2 linked regions of the Alligator mississippiensis genome follow. The protein of the gene in region 2 interacts with the protein of the main gene of each other region in a pairwise test. Links are inferred from orthologs where the notes say so. Each region holds a gene or a part of one and is shown on either strand. Other genes may lie near its edges.

Region 1 (8,439 bases), on a different chromosome or scaffold from region 2:
GCTGTGGTGGCACTGTTTTTTTTCTGTTCCACTCCCCTTCACCCCCCTCAAGTCAGCACCTGGGATAGCTGCCCTGGTTGCCACACTCTAGTTATGCTACCGACCTGTGTATGGACCCATGTAATACTTATTTAAAACAGTTTAAATGTAGTTTAAACCTGAAACAGACATTTAAAGCTGCCTGGAATGGCTCAGAAGTGTACCTGGAAAATCAGTGCACCATGTGTTAGTACACTTGTGAACCAGGTGCATCCCATATTACATAATTCCTTACTTCCCTCCCTCCCCCCCCCACTGCAACCGGTCACTCAGCAGCCAGAACTCTACGGTTCCTTTATTTTTCCTTTTGTTGGCACTTCTTATCAATAATCTCCCTTGCACTATTTGTTAAATAAACAGCTTAGTGCGTCCTTACTCCCTGTTTGACTGCAGCCCATCATTATGCCCTTCAAGCCCCTGGGAATGCTAAACATGGGTCCAAGCATTTCCCTCATTCTACCTGGAATGCTAGGGAACTATAGATGCAGACTTCTGAGCAGCAACAATGGTGAACCAGTTCCCAGTTGATAACATTTAGGTATGGTTCAGTTGTTACATCTGCTACTCCAGGGAAGTTTGTCAACTTTCTGAACAAAAGCAGGGTATAAATTACATTGGTATACAAAACTGATGTACATCACGCAACAAAAACCTGTTGTGGGTCCACACCTGCAGCTTAGTGAGAAGACACACTGATGCCACTCACATACATAAAAATAAATTACTTTCTTCAAACCAGATGTTTAACTTTGATGACAACAGAAGCAGCTTGACCACATCTTTGCCATTCTAAGCAATATAACCCACAAATAGTAAATGCCGTATCTTTCAAGTTTGCTGGTACAAGTGTTTAGAAGTAAACAGCTCAATTTCTAACTTCAAGGACACTGATGAAATCTCTTTTACACTCACAATGTTTCGAAAATTTAATGTTTGAACTGAGGGCAAACTCCAGTTCTCAGTCTCGCTTGATTTTAACTAGGCAACAGATTCAGGCATACAATGCTTGTATAATTTTGAACAAGGCTGCTTTATCAAAGTGGGGATAAATATTAGTGAAAATTATCAGCAAAAATATTGGTAAAAAAAGACTACTGTGTACTTGGAATTTGCGCGTCCCTTTGCATAACGACAGTGGTATTCAACTTACTGGCAAAGTTAATTCACAGAGGAGCAGACCTTTCAAGAAGGAAGAACATTACATTCAACAACTGAATCAGATTTTTTTTATATTCAGCCTTTATTAACTGCTCAAGGCTTAGATGCTACATCAACCTCTCCAATCAACCCACCTATGTACTAGGTGTTGCAAAAACTTGCCTGGACAGGATAAGCAGAGGACACAATACCTTGAGCTTTGAAACTTGTTGGGTTTTTTTAAATTAATGCCATAATCTCTTTTTAAAAAATACCCGGGTCATATTCGCACATATTGCAGATCAAGGTACGCGTGCTCCAAGCTCCCTTTTGTATTCACATGTTCCAGCAGGAACTCTGCAGGGCTGGGTCCCATACACCAAGTTAGAGCCTGACAACTGATTCATCTTAAACCAAACATAAGCCCTACACGAATTAACTCACATTCCCCACAAGAATTAACCTGCCAATGCCCATACTGATTCCTAGCATGGAAGGACCAATATGACAACTCGAGCAAATACAGAAATGATGGGGTACATGGCTTTAACGTGCCTGGACAGACCTGCAGATAAGTGATTCTCTTGTGACAGTTAAACCATTTCACACTAGCACAGTAATATCAGGGATCTGCTTGGGTGCTTTATATGAAGCACTTCAGGTCTTTCAGCAAATTGCTGTGAAGACTTCAACAGAGGCCCCCTTCATTCAGTATTACACCCCCCCAGCTCTGGTCCTATAGTCCAAGAAAACAATCGAGCCTAGTGCAAGAGTGATATTGTAGCCATGATGGTTCAGAAATTATGCGAGGCAAGGATTTCTTTGGGCGGTATCTTTTATTGGACCAACTCTGTAGGTGGAATATAGTTAGACAAGCTTTCAAATACAAGACATTCTTCCTCAGGGACCTAAAGAAAGTCCCCAAGCAGATGCTTGATATGGAGCAGTATTACCTTGCTAGTGTGAAATGAACTTCACCTGGTTTAACTATCCCAGGAGAATCACTTACCTGCAGGTCTGTCCAGGCACCTGTTACAGCCGTCTGCCCCATAATTTCCCCATCTACTCTAGTTGTCAGGTGGGTCCTTCCATGGTAGGAATCAGCATGGGCATTGGCAAGTTGTCCCTGAACCACTCCCAGTCTCTCATGTGGTTTCATTGCTGTGTGGAAAATGTTTGGTTTAAGATTGTGATTCCCAGCCTCGGGTCACGACCCAAATAAGGGTTGTGGGGGCAGTGGCGGGGGTGCCTCACACAGAGGATGAGCCACACCTAGTGCCAGGAGCTCCCCTGTCCCCACCCTTGGGCTGCCGCCACCACGCTCTGCTCCCAGCAGCGGGTTACTGCAAAAAAAAGGTTGGGAACCGCTGATTGAAGACGATGCAGTTACCAAGCTCTCACTCTGCGTCAGGGTCCCAGCCCTGCCCAAATCCATCAGGAAGAGGTGACTGCAACGGGAAGCTTGCAGCACTGCAGGGCACCTTGACCTGAGGAAGAGCGTCTGACACCGGAAAACTTGTCTAACTTTAACCCAACTCCACGGCGGGTCCAATAAAAGATCTCACACCAAGAAACCCTTGCCTCCCCCCCTTAACCCTTTCATCACCATCTGCCCCTCTTCTGCCAAGCACCCCTCCCCCACTGTCCCGGAGAGAACCGCGGTTCTAGAACGCCTGGCGGCCCCGCCCCACCCCGCCCCGCCCCGCCGCACGCCCACGTGCTGCTCCGAGGAGCGCCCTGGGCCGCGGTGGGCGCCCTGCCTGCAGGCCGCGCGGGGTGGGGGGTGGAGCCTCCTCGCCCCTGCCCCTGCCCCTGCCCCTGCCCCGGTCGTGGCGATGCGCCTTGCCACGCCCGCCGGAGGGCCCGCAGGCAGCCGCCGAGGAGCCCGCGCGCCCCAGCATTTTTGTGGCGTGACGCGGGGCAACCCGCAGCCCCGCGCCCCGGGGGGCTGCGGGTCACAGCCCGGCGGGGCTGTGCCCCGCCGCCTGTTTTGTTTTTTTGGTTTTTTTACCTTCCTTGGCTTTTTTCCTCCTGGCCAAAGTGCCTCCGAGTTTGCCCAAGAAGGAGTCATCTTTCTTGCGAGAAGGAGGAGACTTGGGCGTGGGGGACTTGGGCGCCGAGGGCGACTTCTGAGGGGACGTTGCCATGAGCGGGGCGCGGGGCGAAACAGCCCGGTCCAGCGCCCGACGTGAGGGGAGGTAGGCCGGGCGCCCAGATGTAGCGAGCGGCTGGCTGCCCTGCTCCAAACGGAAGCGGAATTATTTCAAGCATTTGAGGCAGCTCCTGCTCTCCCTCCTTCCTTCCCTCCCTCCCGCCCGCCCGCCGCCGCCCGGCCACGGAAGGCCGCTGTCGCCGCCGCGCGCGCTGCTCTCTCCGCACCTGCCCCGCAGCCCCTGTCGCCCCCGCTGCCGGGCTGGGCTGGGCGTTAGGCCGGGATTGCTTGTGCCACAGGCGGCTGTCTGGCGCTGGAAGGAGATCTTCGCAGTCCCGAAACAAGATCCCGGATCCTGCCTGATCTACTGCCCCTCTGATCCAGGCAGAAGCCACCCCCAGCCCCCCTGGCCTGTGCTTCTTCGGGCCCTGCCTCAAATTAAACCTGGACTAAAGAGCTGCTCTGTGTTTTCAAGCCTTGATTTTACTGTGGGTTGGCTCTTTCTATAGCTGGACCGTCATTTTTACCCTGCAATTGTTATTTTGCACAGCGCAGTTTGTCACCTTTGATCTCATGAGCCTGGCCCACCAAGTTTCTTACTGGCCTCCCTTGGGCAGCCAGGCTACAGGAAAAGGTGCTGACAGGCTTGGGACAAATCATAATTAAAGAAACGGGGATTGGCATGCTGGTCACAGGTTCAAAAGAAGAGTGCCAAGGGCGCAACACAGAGCAGAGCACACTGGACCAGCCCTCAAGCGAGTCCAAGGAGCCAGCGGACACTGCCCAGTCCACAAATGACTGGTCTAAATTGGCGGCACGATTAACCAGTTACTTGTGGGGTCAGTACTTTGCACTTGTGGCCCATCTTACTTCGCGTGTGCGGCTAGTTTGAATTTATGCCATGATTAAGTAGTGGATTTCACAATATATGTAATGGGTAGGAGGGGCCTTTGTGAAGCTTTTGACCCGTTACAAATAAGAAAGCAACCATGTTCCTCATAACTTAGAGGGGGCTAGGCATTTGTTTCCTAGTGGATCAGACAGTAGTACCACTGGCTTTATAATATGCTGAGGTATACGGTGGTTGGGACAGCAGTGGCAGACTTTCACACCTGGCAGACTTTCAGTAGTCTTGGAATAGAATTTTCTAATAGAAATAGATTACATATAGGGTGTGCAACCCCCTTAGTATCCTCTTTTTACCTAAGTTGTCCAAAGCTGGGCCTAGGCCATAGGTCAGTGACCACTGTAGTGAGGGAAGGTGTAAATAAGCATAAGCGCTGACTTTGGTTTTTGCCGTGGGTGGTTTGGTTTTTTTTGCATTCCCACACCGAGCCCTGCGCACGCCTAGAAGAGACAGCACGTTACAGGCATTGGGCGAGCTGGGTTGAGGTAAAGATCAGGTGCTTATTGGGGCTTTTTGGGGGCTTTTATCTAATAGCTTATTGAATAAGCTTTAGCTAAAATTGCCTAAAAGCCCCGCTGAAGCACCCAATCTTTACAGACACTGCAGAGCCAGGTTGAAGTAATGCACTGCTTCTTCCAGTAAAGTGCAGTTTGGTTGGGTTTTTTAACATCCACAAGCAGCCACAGAGATCTAACATGTAAAACCAAAACAGCTGTGTGGGGCTTGTGGGTGCTGAGAACCTGCCAGTTTTTTTTGATGGGTGCTTGAGCCCCAGAGCACCCATGGAGTCAGCGCCTATATAAAGAAGCACCTGCTTTTCCAGTCCGCATATATAGGGACAAGGTAAAATTGCGGCCCTGTGGTCTTGGCATTGCTAGTAACTTATTTACATTACAAAAGCCATCGGGCTTCTTTGATTTACAGTGGGGACTGGACCAGCATCAAGATTGGCTCAAGATAGATAAAGGCAGCTAAAAGCCAACTGCCCTGGCTCTACATCCCCTCCCACTCCGCACAACTCCAAGCTTCCCAATCCTGCAAGTGCTCTTCAGTCACAATTGAAGATTCTGTTTTATCCCATTTATATTTGTATGCTGCATCCCTTGCTATAGGTTCTGGGCCACAAACTAAAGCCCCAATCTTTCATCCCCATAGAGATACTGAACTTTGCACGTGGGATTAACCTAAATCAATAGAACTACTTGGGTACCAAAACTGAAGCACATGCATACACGTTTGTGGGAACGAAGCTCAGATTAGGAAATTGTGAAACGAATTCTGTCAGTTCGATGAATTTTTCCAGCGTATATGACCAAGGAAGAAGGCAAAGAACACTAAGAGGATACCATCGACTTTTCTTCAGGTTAACATTTAGGTTTCCAAATGTAATCTCAGATAAGCAAAATTCCATCTACCACCACATTTCTGTAGCACCCATCAACATATATGTATATGTGATTACTTTGTAATCGTATGAGAATGACAAGATGGCAATGTACGGGTTAGTAGGAAAGAAAAGAAAAAAAAAAACCTTAGTGACAGGACAAACTTACATGAAAAATGAAACATGTTCCTGGTGAGGAACAACATCGTTTTCCAGTTCTCCTATTAGATTTGCAAACAAGTAGCTTAGAAGAAAAGTATGTCAGAGGCACACAATTTACCATGATTGACAGTTGATTCAGGAGAGGCCCAGGACTGGAACAGCATTAATGTCTTACGGATGTGCTACTTTCACTTACCGTTTAATCACTCGATTAACAATTTAAGCAAAAAGCCACACACACTTCATGCAAATATCTGGCTATCCATTAGGCATAGTAAGTGAAATGAAATTACCATGAGGATATTTCTAAATCAGTTAATAATTGTTGTGTTTTTACAAATCAGTAACAGGTATCTGATGAGAGGGAGGCATCAACAAATATTTACTGTACGTTGTTTGTACATGCTCTAGAGACTAACATTAATCAACCATACAGTGCCATTCTTTTAACAGAAAAGTGGACTAGAAGGCTGGTAGAATACCACATTTCTTTATATTTGCTCTCGCTGCATTTGTCATTTTGAACAGTTACTTGCATGGTCTACAGTTTCACATGCTACTAAATAAACTCTGTATATTTACAAGTTTTATTTATTTACACACTGTTTGGATCAGGTCACCAGCTGCTTTGAACAGATTTTTTTTTTTTAGGAATATAGAAACTTTTTTAAAGGAAGGAGAAACAAATGTCATATCTACCTATTGTATATGCATGCAACTGTGCCATAGGCATTTACAAGTAGAATAGTTTTGTGAAAAGGGATCCATTTATGCCAGGGGCAGGCAATTATTTTGGGTAGAGGGCTGCTTACTGAGTTTTGGCAAGCCATCGAGGGCCACATGACAGGCAGCCCAGGGCAGATAAATATTAATTTTCTAAATTTTTTAGGGGCCCCACGGGCCAGATAGAATGGACTGGTGGGTCACATCTGGCCCCCGGCTGCATTTTGCCCACCCCTGATTTATGCTCACCTGGCTGCATCTGGATGTAAACATAGGATTTTATAAAGATACCAGAGGTGGGATGAGGAGCAAAATTTGGCAAATGCAGGTCACCAGATTCTGTGGCACCCACCGAGGCAGATTTTGCATCCTGCAGTGGATTCTGAAGCGCACATCCCCACAGTAAAGGATATCTTAATGTTTATAAGAAGCCACGCTATAATTGCATACACTCCCAGCTTTTATTGACGTAAATTATTAACCATAAATACAATTACAATAATATGGTGTGGGGTTGTTTTTTTCCCTACAGGTACACACACATTTTTCAGGGGTAGTCATTCATACCACTGTTTTATTGATTTAACCACAGTGTCATATCACTCAGAGTGATTCATGTTAGAATTGCATAAGATGACAACAAAGAAAGATTTTGTCTGAGATGCTTTCCAAAGTAACTCAGAGGGGTAGAATACGTTATATACCTACCATGGTATAGAGCCAATAAGAAAGAGAACTGATGCAGCAGAACTAATAAGACAACCTATAACCTGAAATTATTGATTCATGAGAAAGATCAGCTCTGATGTTACATATGGTTTTTGCTGCTTTCCTGCATTTGTTCAATTGAATTGTCAAACTGTTGAGATGGACTGAGGTCATGCAGTAAATTAGTGACTGATCTTAGATTAGAACTCGGAATCTTTTTTCTAACTAAAATTTTGATTCAAATGTCTTTGGATCAAATACTCTTCTGATTCTTAAGGGTAAGATTGTCAAAAACACTTAGTTTTGGCCTGCAACTGTTCCCTTCCTAACAGTAAACTGGTTGCTGGTTGTGCAATACACTGTGGTAGTGATATGGTCATTGCAAACTTTCACTGTGGTGTTCAGGAAATTAATTGGCTGGGTACAGTATTCCAGACTCAGTTTGATGGACAGATGGAAGTTAAAGTCTTGGTGCAATTTCTCTAAAAATGCCTTCCAGTGTGCCCATATGATAAAGATATCAATGCACCTTAAGTTTTCCAAGGTATACGGGGCCGAGGGGAGCACAGGTGCAGAAGAAGCGAACTTTAAGGTCTGTCATAACCAAGGATCAAGGTTTTCTGTTTCTTGTAGAAACACATGGACTTACCTCTTTAAAAGAGAAAAACACAGATTTTCCACTTTTAAGTGAGAAAACATGGGTTTCCCCTTTTGGAAACAGCTTTCTGCAGGCTGGCAGAGTTCCAGCCTACAACAAGCTGCTTGCAAAAAGGATGCAAACCCTAAGCCCTGTCCAGAGGGGTAGGGGAAGGGGATGGGGCCTAACAATTTGAGACCAGCCAGAGCTGGCTCAGATTCACTTTGCCTCCTGCAGCCTTTCGGGTAAAAAGAGCCTGAGGGGACGGGGCCTGAAGACAGGGGCTGGGGGCCTCCTCCAGTACAGCTGGGGAGGGGCAGGGGGTTGCAAGTGGGAACGTGGGGGCCAGTAATTTTCTGGTTCCCTTGCAGCCCCTGGGCCTGATTTCATATGTTTCAGGGCCCACCGACTGGCCTTGCAAGGAAGGGAATCCTAGTGATAGGGCAGGGCTAGTGGGATAGAGGAGGAGGAGGGGAAGTGGGAGGGAGAAAAAGCAGGGGCCACCCAGGGGGCCAGGTGGGGTCTGACCCAGCCATCAGTTAGCCCCCACCAGATGGGGACCACTGCCACCTGCCCACTCCCCCCATGTG
Region 2 (8,829 bases):
AGATCCAGGGCACTACTAGGGTCTCCATGGAAACTAGACACAGCGACTCAAGCAGGGGCTGCTTGGAAATGGAGTCCGCCACAGGACTGATCTGGCTGGCAGGCCACACTTTGCCCACCCCTGCTCTAGACAGTGTCATGTCCATCCCCACAAGAAGCAAGAGACAGAAAAGCACTTAGACAATGCTTTTTGTACTAAAAAATCTAACTTCTAAAGCACAGGGTTTGATCCCAGTACAAAACACATTCCGACTGCAAATTTCACAACTGTATCTGAAGTGATAAATCAACTGAACCATCTGTAACCCTTGTATTTAATACTTAGGGAAAAAAGATACCTGTTCTTCTCAACTTAAACCTCACTGCTGGAGTTTTAGAAAACTGCCTATCTAGGCCAAGATTTTCTTAAATATAGGTGGAAAGTTTGGTTCCTAATTCCTGATTAGGACTACAAAATTTGGTTCCTAATTCCTGATTTATGCTCCACTTCTGCAATGAACTCCGCACGTGTATAGAAGTTCATGTATACAGTGCTTATTAAAATATCAGCAGCCTAAACATGTGGCTTGACTGTCAAATATTGAAGTTTAAGGGAACCACTGAGTTTTTGGTTTTGTAAGAAGTGAGTCACAGGCAGTCTAGAGGAGCAAGGGGGTTGACAAGTACTGTACTTGCATCAGAGGCTAATCCAAACGAGGGACCAAGGCTGCTCAAGAGAGTCAAAGCCAGAGTCCAAGCCAAAATCCTAGCCAGAAAGTAAAATCCATATCCATGGTCAAGCTAGTACCAGAAGTCAGGAGCCAAAGAATCCAAAACAGGAGCACAGGAACAGGCTGAGTGTGGATAAGGACCCAGGGCTGGACCCAATGATCTTGCAAGGTCTCTTCCAGCCTCTTACAATCTATGAATCTATGAAAAGTACAGCTACTACAGATTGTAAAGTACTTGTTCCATAGTGCTTTTGGGCATACTAGGTCCAACCTACTCTGCAGTCAGTGAGCTTGTCCCATTCACCTGGTGGCATTCGGAAATCAGGCAGCCCTAAGGATGTAAATTGTCTTCCAACAGGTTTTTTGATAAAAGCAGGCTATTTTTTCAAACATCAGAATAAGAGATTTAGGACCCTGTTCTAAGATCCAGTGCAGTTTTTCAAAACCTTGGTACAAGTGTATTTGTCACACAAAGACCTGATGATACCAAGCTTTTACCAATATTCCAACTGATTCAATCTTCAAAATAGTTTTAGAAACCTTCTCTTTTCCAAAATTACCCCTTTTGCTTTTTCACTCTCCTTCATTTTATTCTTGGAGGCCAATTTTATCATTCAGCATCACTAACAGTAGCAACAACAATAATAATATACTAATAAATACAACAAAATAGAATAAATAGTAGTCATTTCCTTTGTAAATCCTACCTGGCAAAAGCTTTCAGAGTGCTGGACCAGAATCACAAAAACAATTTCTCCTTTATTAAAAACAGCCTTGTGAACTGAAGGCAGATCTTGATCAGCAACGTACAACTTATTTTCAGAGACATGATGAAAAGGAGTGAGAAGGTGAAAACTCTGCTGGTGGAAAGAGTACACTGACTTGATAACACATATGGGATTGGATGTGAGCTGATATTACATTCTGATAATCCCAGTGCCATTGTACTTTTCGGAAAAAATGCTGGTGCCATAATACCGTGGGCAAGCATAGCCTTATTAGCAAAAGAAGATAACTTTCTTATGCCCTTTATTCTTACTGCTCATCACACTGGGCCAGAGGTATAGGAAAGCGAGATTTGATTATGAAACTGGAAAAAAACCTGTCTACCCAACTATTGTGTCCCCTTCTATTTCACAGGCTCAAGTTACAACAAGGGGAGTTTAGGTTAGATCTTGGGGAAAACTCTGAGGGTCGTACAACACTGGAACAGGCTACCCAGAGAGGTTGTGGAATCTCCCTCCTGAAAGGTTTTTAAGACCCTGCTAGACAATGGAATGATGTAGATGGGGATGGTCCTGCTTGGAGCAGGGGGTTGGACTTGATTCTTTCCCAAGGTCCCTTCCAGCCCTTTCTATGCTTCTATTTTCCTGCCTAATGAAGGGGAAATTCTTGCTGTTTGCTCATTGTGTGTGGTTCCCCCCACTCCCCTCCTGCATCCTTTTACAGCAAAAAAACCACATGTAACCCCACCAGCACCAAAAAGCCCCTTGCCACATTTTTTAAAATGAAATCTTCATATTTTCCCAAGCAGGAAGCAACTGTGACCACCTGAAACCCGAGATCCTGCTCCTGCTTTCATTTCAAGGTAATTTGCATCATCACAGATCCTCACAGGACGTGAGAGGCTTCATATGGGTATGAACTGACTGCCCAGAGGAGTTTTCCATCTATGGACTCCTCTGTGAAATCCTACGAAGTATGAACTGTCATTTCTACCCAGGAGAACTTTTACAGTCTTTTCTCTAATGCCTGATGAAGGGTGTTTGTGCCCAAAAACTTGCAATTAAAGGCTTTTTCTTTTTTTTTTTTGCAAAAATCTTGTTGGTGTAATAAAAGAGATTACTTCTACTATGAGTCCTGACTGCCTTTTCCTCTAGACCAATACAGCTACAACTTGGATACCTGATACATGGAGGATATCGAATTTTAGCCAGTTTTTTTAATGAAATCTTGACATTTTCACAGGAAGCAACTGTGACCACCTGAACCCTGAGATCCAAGTCCTGCCTTTGTTTCAAGGTAATTTGCAGCATCACAGACATTCACAGGAGGCGAGAGGCTCCATGCCAGCTATGAACTGCCTGCCCAGAGGAGTTTTCCATCTACAGGGGAAACACCATGTAGCTGGGTCCAAGAAGGCAGCTCTCCTTAAGTGTTCCCGGGGATAACTGTTCTTCTGGTGTGGTTTAGTGTTGGGGCTTAAAGCCTACTTTATGGAAATGGGAGTCTCCTCCCTAGCTTGCTTCTGCGGCCGTATGGCTGAGGGCAGGCGAAACTTGGGGGCACCCGAACCTCAAGCCTCCGGGCTTGGGCCTACATATCGGATCCCCACCAAAAGACTTTGGAAATATCTGAAGCCCCGAGTGGGGGTGGAGTATGTTTTCCGGTTGTTGGGTCACTTATGGTTCTGGACTGACTCACGGATTTGGACTTGATTTGGCTTGGACGACGAATCATTTCTTTAAAAGAAATAAAATAAAAATGTATCCACTCCTCTGTGAAATCCTAGCAAATATGAACTTTCCTTTCTGCCCAGGAGAACTTTTACAAGGTTGTCTCCGACGCCCGATGTTTGTGCCCGAAAGCTTGCAATCCAAAAATTTTTTTTTTTATTTTTTTTTTTTTTAAAACCTGTTGGTCTAATAAGAGAGCATCTCTAGGACGAGTCCCGATTGCCTTTTCCTCTAGACCACAAAGCCTCTTGAAACACTTCCCTGACACCCCCTCCCACAGGCTCCTGCCAAGAATGGAAAGGGCTCTCAGCTTCCACCCCCTAAAAGGGGTCTGAGAAGGGAAAGCCCACGACTCCTGCCCTGCTCCCCCCGCGACACTGAGTTTCTTCCCCTTTCCCTCCCTGCTGCCAGGGGGGACAGGCAGAGGCAGAGCAGGTGCCCGGGCTGAAGGGTGGCGCGGCGCCCGTCCCGCCTGAGCGCGCTGCAGAGGGGAGCTGAGGCCCGCCCGCCCGGCCGCCTCCCCGCGCGGCGCTACCTCGGAGCCGGCGGAAGTCCCGCTGCCAGCTGTCCCGCGCGCCGTAGCGGGCCCCCAGCGGGCTCCTGCTCTGGAAGGCCTGGAAGGACAGCAGCTCTTCCCCCGGCCCCCGCCCGCTCCCGGCCATGCTGCCCCACTTGCCCGGCCCGGCCCGGCCCGAGTGGCTCCTCCCGGCTCCTTCCCCCGCCCCGCACGGCGCAAGCCCTGCCCCGTCCGGGACACCAAGGCTCGCGGGCAGCCGCGCGCGTTCCTGTGTGTGTCCGCTCTGCGGAGGACGCGCGCTAAACGGGCGCCGGGGCCCGGCCCAGGGCTGCTCGTGCTGCTCCTTGCCCAACTAAACCGGCCCCCGAAGCCGCCAAGCTGTTGAAGTGGCTTCTTGGAGTGAGTGATTTTCAAATCTTACAGGAGGGCTCTCTCTTATGAGGGGCTGAGCTCCCCTGTAACCCTGCCCACCTCTGCCCTGCAAACCTCTTCTCTGACTCCTAGTTGCTCAAGGCAATTTCTCTCACTTTCAGTGCTCTGCCCCGGGGACTTGCTCTTCAGCCCTGGAATGCATGTAGGGATGCGTGTTTTCACCGCAAAGGATGTTGTCTTGGGCATCCTAGATGAGGTGAAGAGTGAAGGTGATAGAGCCTGGGTAGTTGTAAGGGTAGAAGCAGATGCCTGGGGATGGGAGAGAAGCTGTCACACTCCCGGGCTTAGCTTTAGTACGGTTTTTGCAGGGCAAGTTGTATAGCTACTCTAATAAAACAACAGGACCAGTATCAGTAGCAGTAATAATATGCATTACTAATAATAGTAATAATAATGCATAACAACTGCTTCAACCACAGAAACTACAGGTTTCCCTCACCAACTGCTGGGGTTAGGTTCCTGAAAGTTCCTGTGCCTGGAAAAACCATGGTTGGCAAGACAAAAGGTTTATGGGAAAAATGGCAGGTGGCAGCCTGATGTGCGGCCATGGAAAACTGTGGTTACTCAAAGCTGTATACCATGGTAGCCAACACGGTATATAGAATATTAAGCGTGGATACTCAGTACTGTGGTTGGGAAAACCGTGGTTGGCAAGGGAAACCTATATTCACTTTTTAGAGTTTGGTAATGCTTATGCAGGCTCGAGTATATCATTTTACCAGACCTGGCTGTTCTCAGATTACCATCTGGCTCTGCAATGCATTCCACTTGGTATGGCACAATTCCTCCATCTCCCCACCCCACTTAATTTCTTTGGGCCTGGTTTACATGAACATAACAAACAAAACAGAAACAATTCACCTAAGTTCTACCTGTGCTCAGCAGGATTTTCCTATCAGTCCTTTCTTCCAGGCTTGCAAGCTTAGTTTTCCAATGTCTTGGAGCACTGGTGCTAGGTTTCCAGAAGCCATACTCTTGTCTTGCTTTCTTGACAGTCAGTAAACAAACTGATGACTTGCTTATTAAGTCACTTAACAAAAATATCATGTGTTTCTTACAAGTATATAAATGAACTACTACGTAGCTGTTGGTGCAGACCAAACATGACAATAATAGATCTACTTTGGGGAACTATGCGTGTACGAGGGAATAATGATTCTCCCCCTCCCTCCCCCTTCCCTAACCTAGTGAACCACTGTGGATTTTTGAACCCTGTGACACTCCTCTTATAAAACACTGTTGACAGGCTGGTGTCTTTTGGCCAACTAGCATCTTATTCACTCACCAGCCTGCACTTATAGATCCATCCCATCCTATGTAAGGTTAGGCTATGGTGAAGTGCAGTTGCTGTTCAGGAAAGTTCATGTGCCAAGCACTGCACAGAAAAGTTTTAGCTCTGTAGTATAAAATTTAACTGCCTACCCTCCCTCTGCTAAAAGTGTAGCTACTGACAGGGAAGATTTTAACTAGACCACTGAGTTTATTTTATCTGGGGGAAAAAAAATCTGCACTAGAGAAAATTTTATTTGACAAGAACATCTCTGTTGGCAGCCACTAGCGCACATACCTTCACCTGTAGTGAGTAATAGCTAAAATAACCCTATTTCCCATTTAAAAAACAAGTATACAGGTCACACTGGCTCGTCCCAGAACTTTCAGTGAGATTTATAGTCGTAAATACACCTATAGTACACCGGCTAAGATGCTTTGATATTTTACTTCACTGGTCAACAAAGGAGGGTCAGATTGCCAGGAAAACTATTCAGTCAATGTCTATTTTATGAAGCATTTACAAAGAGAAATGAAGCAACATTTAAAATTGTAGGCATGGCATTTAAAATTAAATTCACAGCAATTGCACCCCTACTTTTAGAAAATTACCAGAGTTTCGCTCTATTTTAGCATATTTTAAAACACAGCCATGGCTACAGTGTTGCTCCCAGATGCCATCCTAATACAATAAATGTCTGTGTATTTGCATGAAGGTTCAATTTTACATATAGGTGCATGACTATGACTAAATAAATGTATAGCATTCTGTGTTCTTTCTTAGGCTTCTGTGTCCCATCCCAGGGCTCAATTTCCATCAAAAGCAGGGTTTGGGATATCTCTGTGCCCATTCCAGCACTGTAAGACAGCATCCCCTGAATCATTTTTGTTTCACTATCACCTACAAATTCTGGTCTCCACTCCACCTCCCCCAACCTCCCAGACTTACACTTTCCATAAACTCAGCAATCACAATTCCAAAACAATACTCAAAGAGATCAATCTATGTTACAGAAACAGAAATATGGGTATGTTTACATCAATTAAATTGTACACGTCTAGGTCTCAAAAATCTGTAAAGGTCATCAGAATCATACACAGGGAAAGGCATATTTATGGTGTTTACAGAAACATTCCCAGTGAAAGAACTGATTGAAACCTTTTTATTTTTCCTCTTGACAGAAAACTATTTTATATGTAATAGAAGCTTTAGAGGAAAAAGTTGTTTACCTGTAAACCTACAAACTTTCTGTTTAAGTCAAGGACATTTTCATTTACATTGTTCACAGGGAAAAATTCTTGATTAACTCTAGTAAAACACTGAAGATGTGTACTGTTGCCAGCATAGTTATGTAACTTTATATTGCCCAGAAGTCCTGATAAACTGCATCAGCCTATTCGCATATCAGTTTGCATGTTAGGCTATAAATATCACTTGGAATAAACTATACCTATAAAGTCAGTGCTACAGTAATGTAAATACAAGAAATGAGACACAGGGCGCATCTACATGAGATGCTTTACTGCATAACAGATTAATCTAGTTGTCAGTACAGCATTACCATTTACATGTGCATGGCATTTATGGCACAGTAAATTAGTCTATTATGCAGTTAGCTAGTACCTGTAAACATCAGCAGGAGACCACAAGAGACTGGGGAGTTCTCTGTCCCTGGTCCTGGTCCTGCTCAGCTCCCGGCTCTGCCCAGGAGGGATGGGGATGGGGTCACTCTCTGTCTCGGTCTCATCCCAGCACTACTGGCAAGCCGCCTGATGGGCAAGTAATCCCCACCCAGCAGGGGGCTCACTAGCAGCTCCCCCAGAATCAGGACAGCTCCTGGTGAAATCCCTGCTGGGCAGGGAAGCCCCTCTGGGCACAGGTCTTACTGGCAGCTGTGTGTCCTAATGCTCAGAGGGCTGGGAGAGCTCTGCCAACTATAGTGGCAGCTGTCTCCAGGCCCCAAGCACATCAGGACCCCTCCCAATGTGCATGGGGCAAGGAGGCAGCTGCCAATGCAGACGGCAGGGATTTCCTGGCCCCAGCCACGTCAGAGCCTGGATGCTGCGGCGAGGCAGGGCAGGGCAGGAGCAGTCCTGTACTAGGCTGCTCCATTGGGAACAGATTTGCTTCAAATAGGGCGCACGCTCCCAGGGAAGGCTTACTGAGCAGTATTTTACTGTTCAGTAAGCCTAGATTGCATTAATAACACAGGTAGACACACCCACAAAGAAGAAAGCAGGATTATGCAGCAGCAGCCACATAACCATTTAAAACCTTTACCTAACTGTGGTAACCATCCCAGACAACTTGGTGGTTGCTCCACAGTGGGCCCCTGTACATGGAACATTTACTGTACAGTTGGCTAATTAGTTGCTCAGTAAATGTCTCAGTATCTACACCTGCACCCCTATTAGAATGGAGTGAACTAATCTGTTCTACAGCAGGATAGTTCTTGTATTGCTGGTGCTTCCTTATGGAGTCAATTCTCACAGCTCAAAAACAGGCCATCCCCATGCAGACAAAAAACAGGAAAGGAGCCAAGAGACCCTCTTGGCTCAACAGGGATATTAGGGAGCTTTTGAAAAAGAAAGAAGAATCATATAAGCTATGGAAGAACAGATCAGCTACCAGAGAGGAATACACTTGTATTACCAGGGCCTGCAGATATGAGACACGGAAAGCTAATGCAGGCATGGAAATCAAGCTGGCAGCTGGCATAAAAGACAACAATAAGTCCTTCCACAGATACATAGGAAGGAACAAAAAATCAGGACCCCCTACTGAATCCTCAGGGACAGCCCACAATCAACACCTGCAAAAAGACAGAACTCCTAAATACATACTTCATGTCAGTATTCCTGAAATCAAACAGGAGCTGTTAACCTGACCAGAGGCCCAGGAAACGTGGGGAAGACAAAAGATTATACGAAATCACTCCTGTGCAGATGAGGGATCTCCTACAACACCTGGATGTTTTCCAGTCTGTTGGGCCAGACAACCTGCACCTGAGAGTCTTGAAAGAACTGGCTGGCAGCACCCTGGCCAAGCAGTTTCAAGAATCATGGAACTCAGGAGTTGTCCTGGATGACTGGAAGAGGGTCAATGTGGTGCCCATCTTTAAGACAGGGAAAAGGGATGACCCAGCAAACTACAGACTGGTCAGCCTGACTTCGGTCCTGGGAACAAGCTTTGAAAAATTTGTTAAGGAGGCCAATCACAGCCTGGTAACTGAAGGGGTGTTACAAAGCAACCAGTACAGCTTTGTTGAGGGTAGATCATGTCTGACTAACCTAATGTCCTTCTATGACTAGGTATCTAGCCATGTGGATGAGGGGCATATGGTTGATGTCATTTACTTAGATTTCAGCAAAGCCTTTGATTCTATTTCCCACGAGATTCCCACAGTCAAACTGGAGGGTACTGGGCTGGACCAGTCTACAGTGAG

What was found.
Region 1: the proteins of MOCOS (region 2) and PARVA interact in binary tests that used the Homo sapiens proteins (3 or more experiments, as listed by UniProt). The two-hybrid records come from large-scale screens. The link is inferred for Alligator mississippiensis from reciprocal best matches to the Homo sapiens genes MOCOS and PARVA.

What each region holds. Positions count from the first base shown.
Region 1 is NC_081825.1:201,150,108-201,158,546, reverse strand, and holds the start of PARVA (alpha-parvin), read right to left. Parts: upstream 3,418-8,439; 5' UTR 3,324-3,417; coding exon 3,188-3,323; intron 1-3,187. UniProt on the Homo sapiens protein: Plays a role in sarcomere organization and in smooth muscle cell contraction. Required for normal development of the embryonic cardiovascular system, and for normal septation of the heart outflow tract.
Region 2 is NC_081828.1:78,062,480-78,071,308, forward strand, and holds the start of MOCOS (molybdenum cofactor sulfurase), read right to left. Parts: upstream 3,843-8,829; 5' UTR 3,828-3,842; coding exon 3,701-3,827; intron 1-3,700. UniProt on the Homo sapiens protein: Sulfurates the molybdenum cofactor. Sulfation of molybdenum is essential for xanthine dehydrogenase (XDH) and aldehyde oxidase (ADO) enzymes in which molybdenum cofactor is liganded by 1 oxygen and 1 sulfur atom in active form.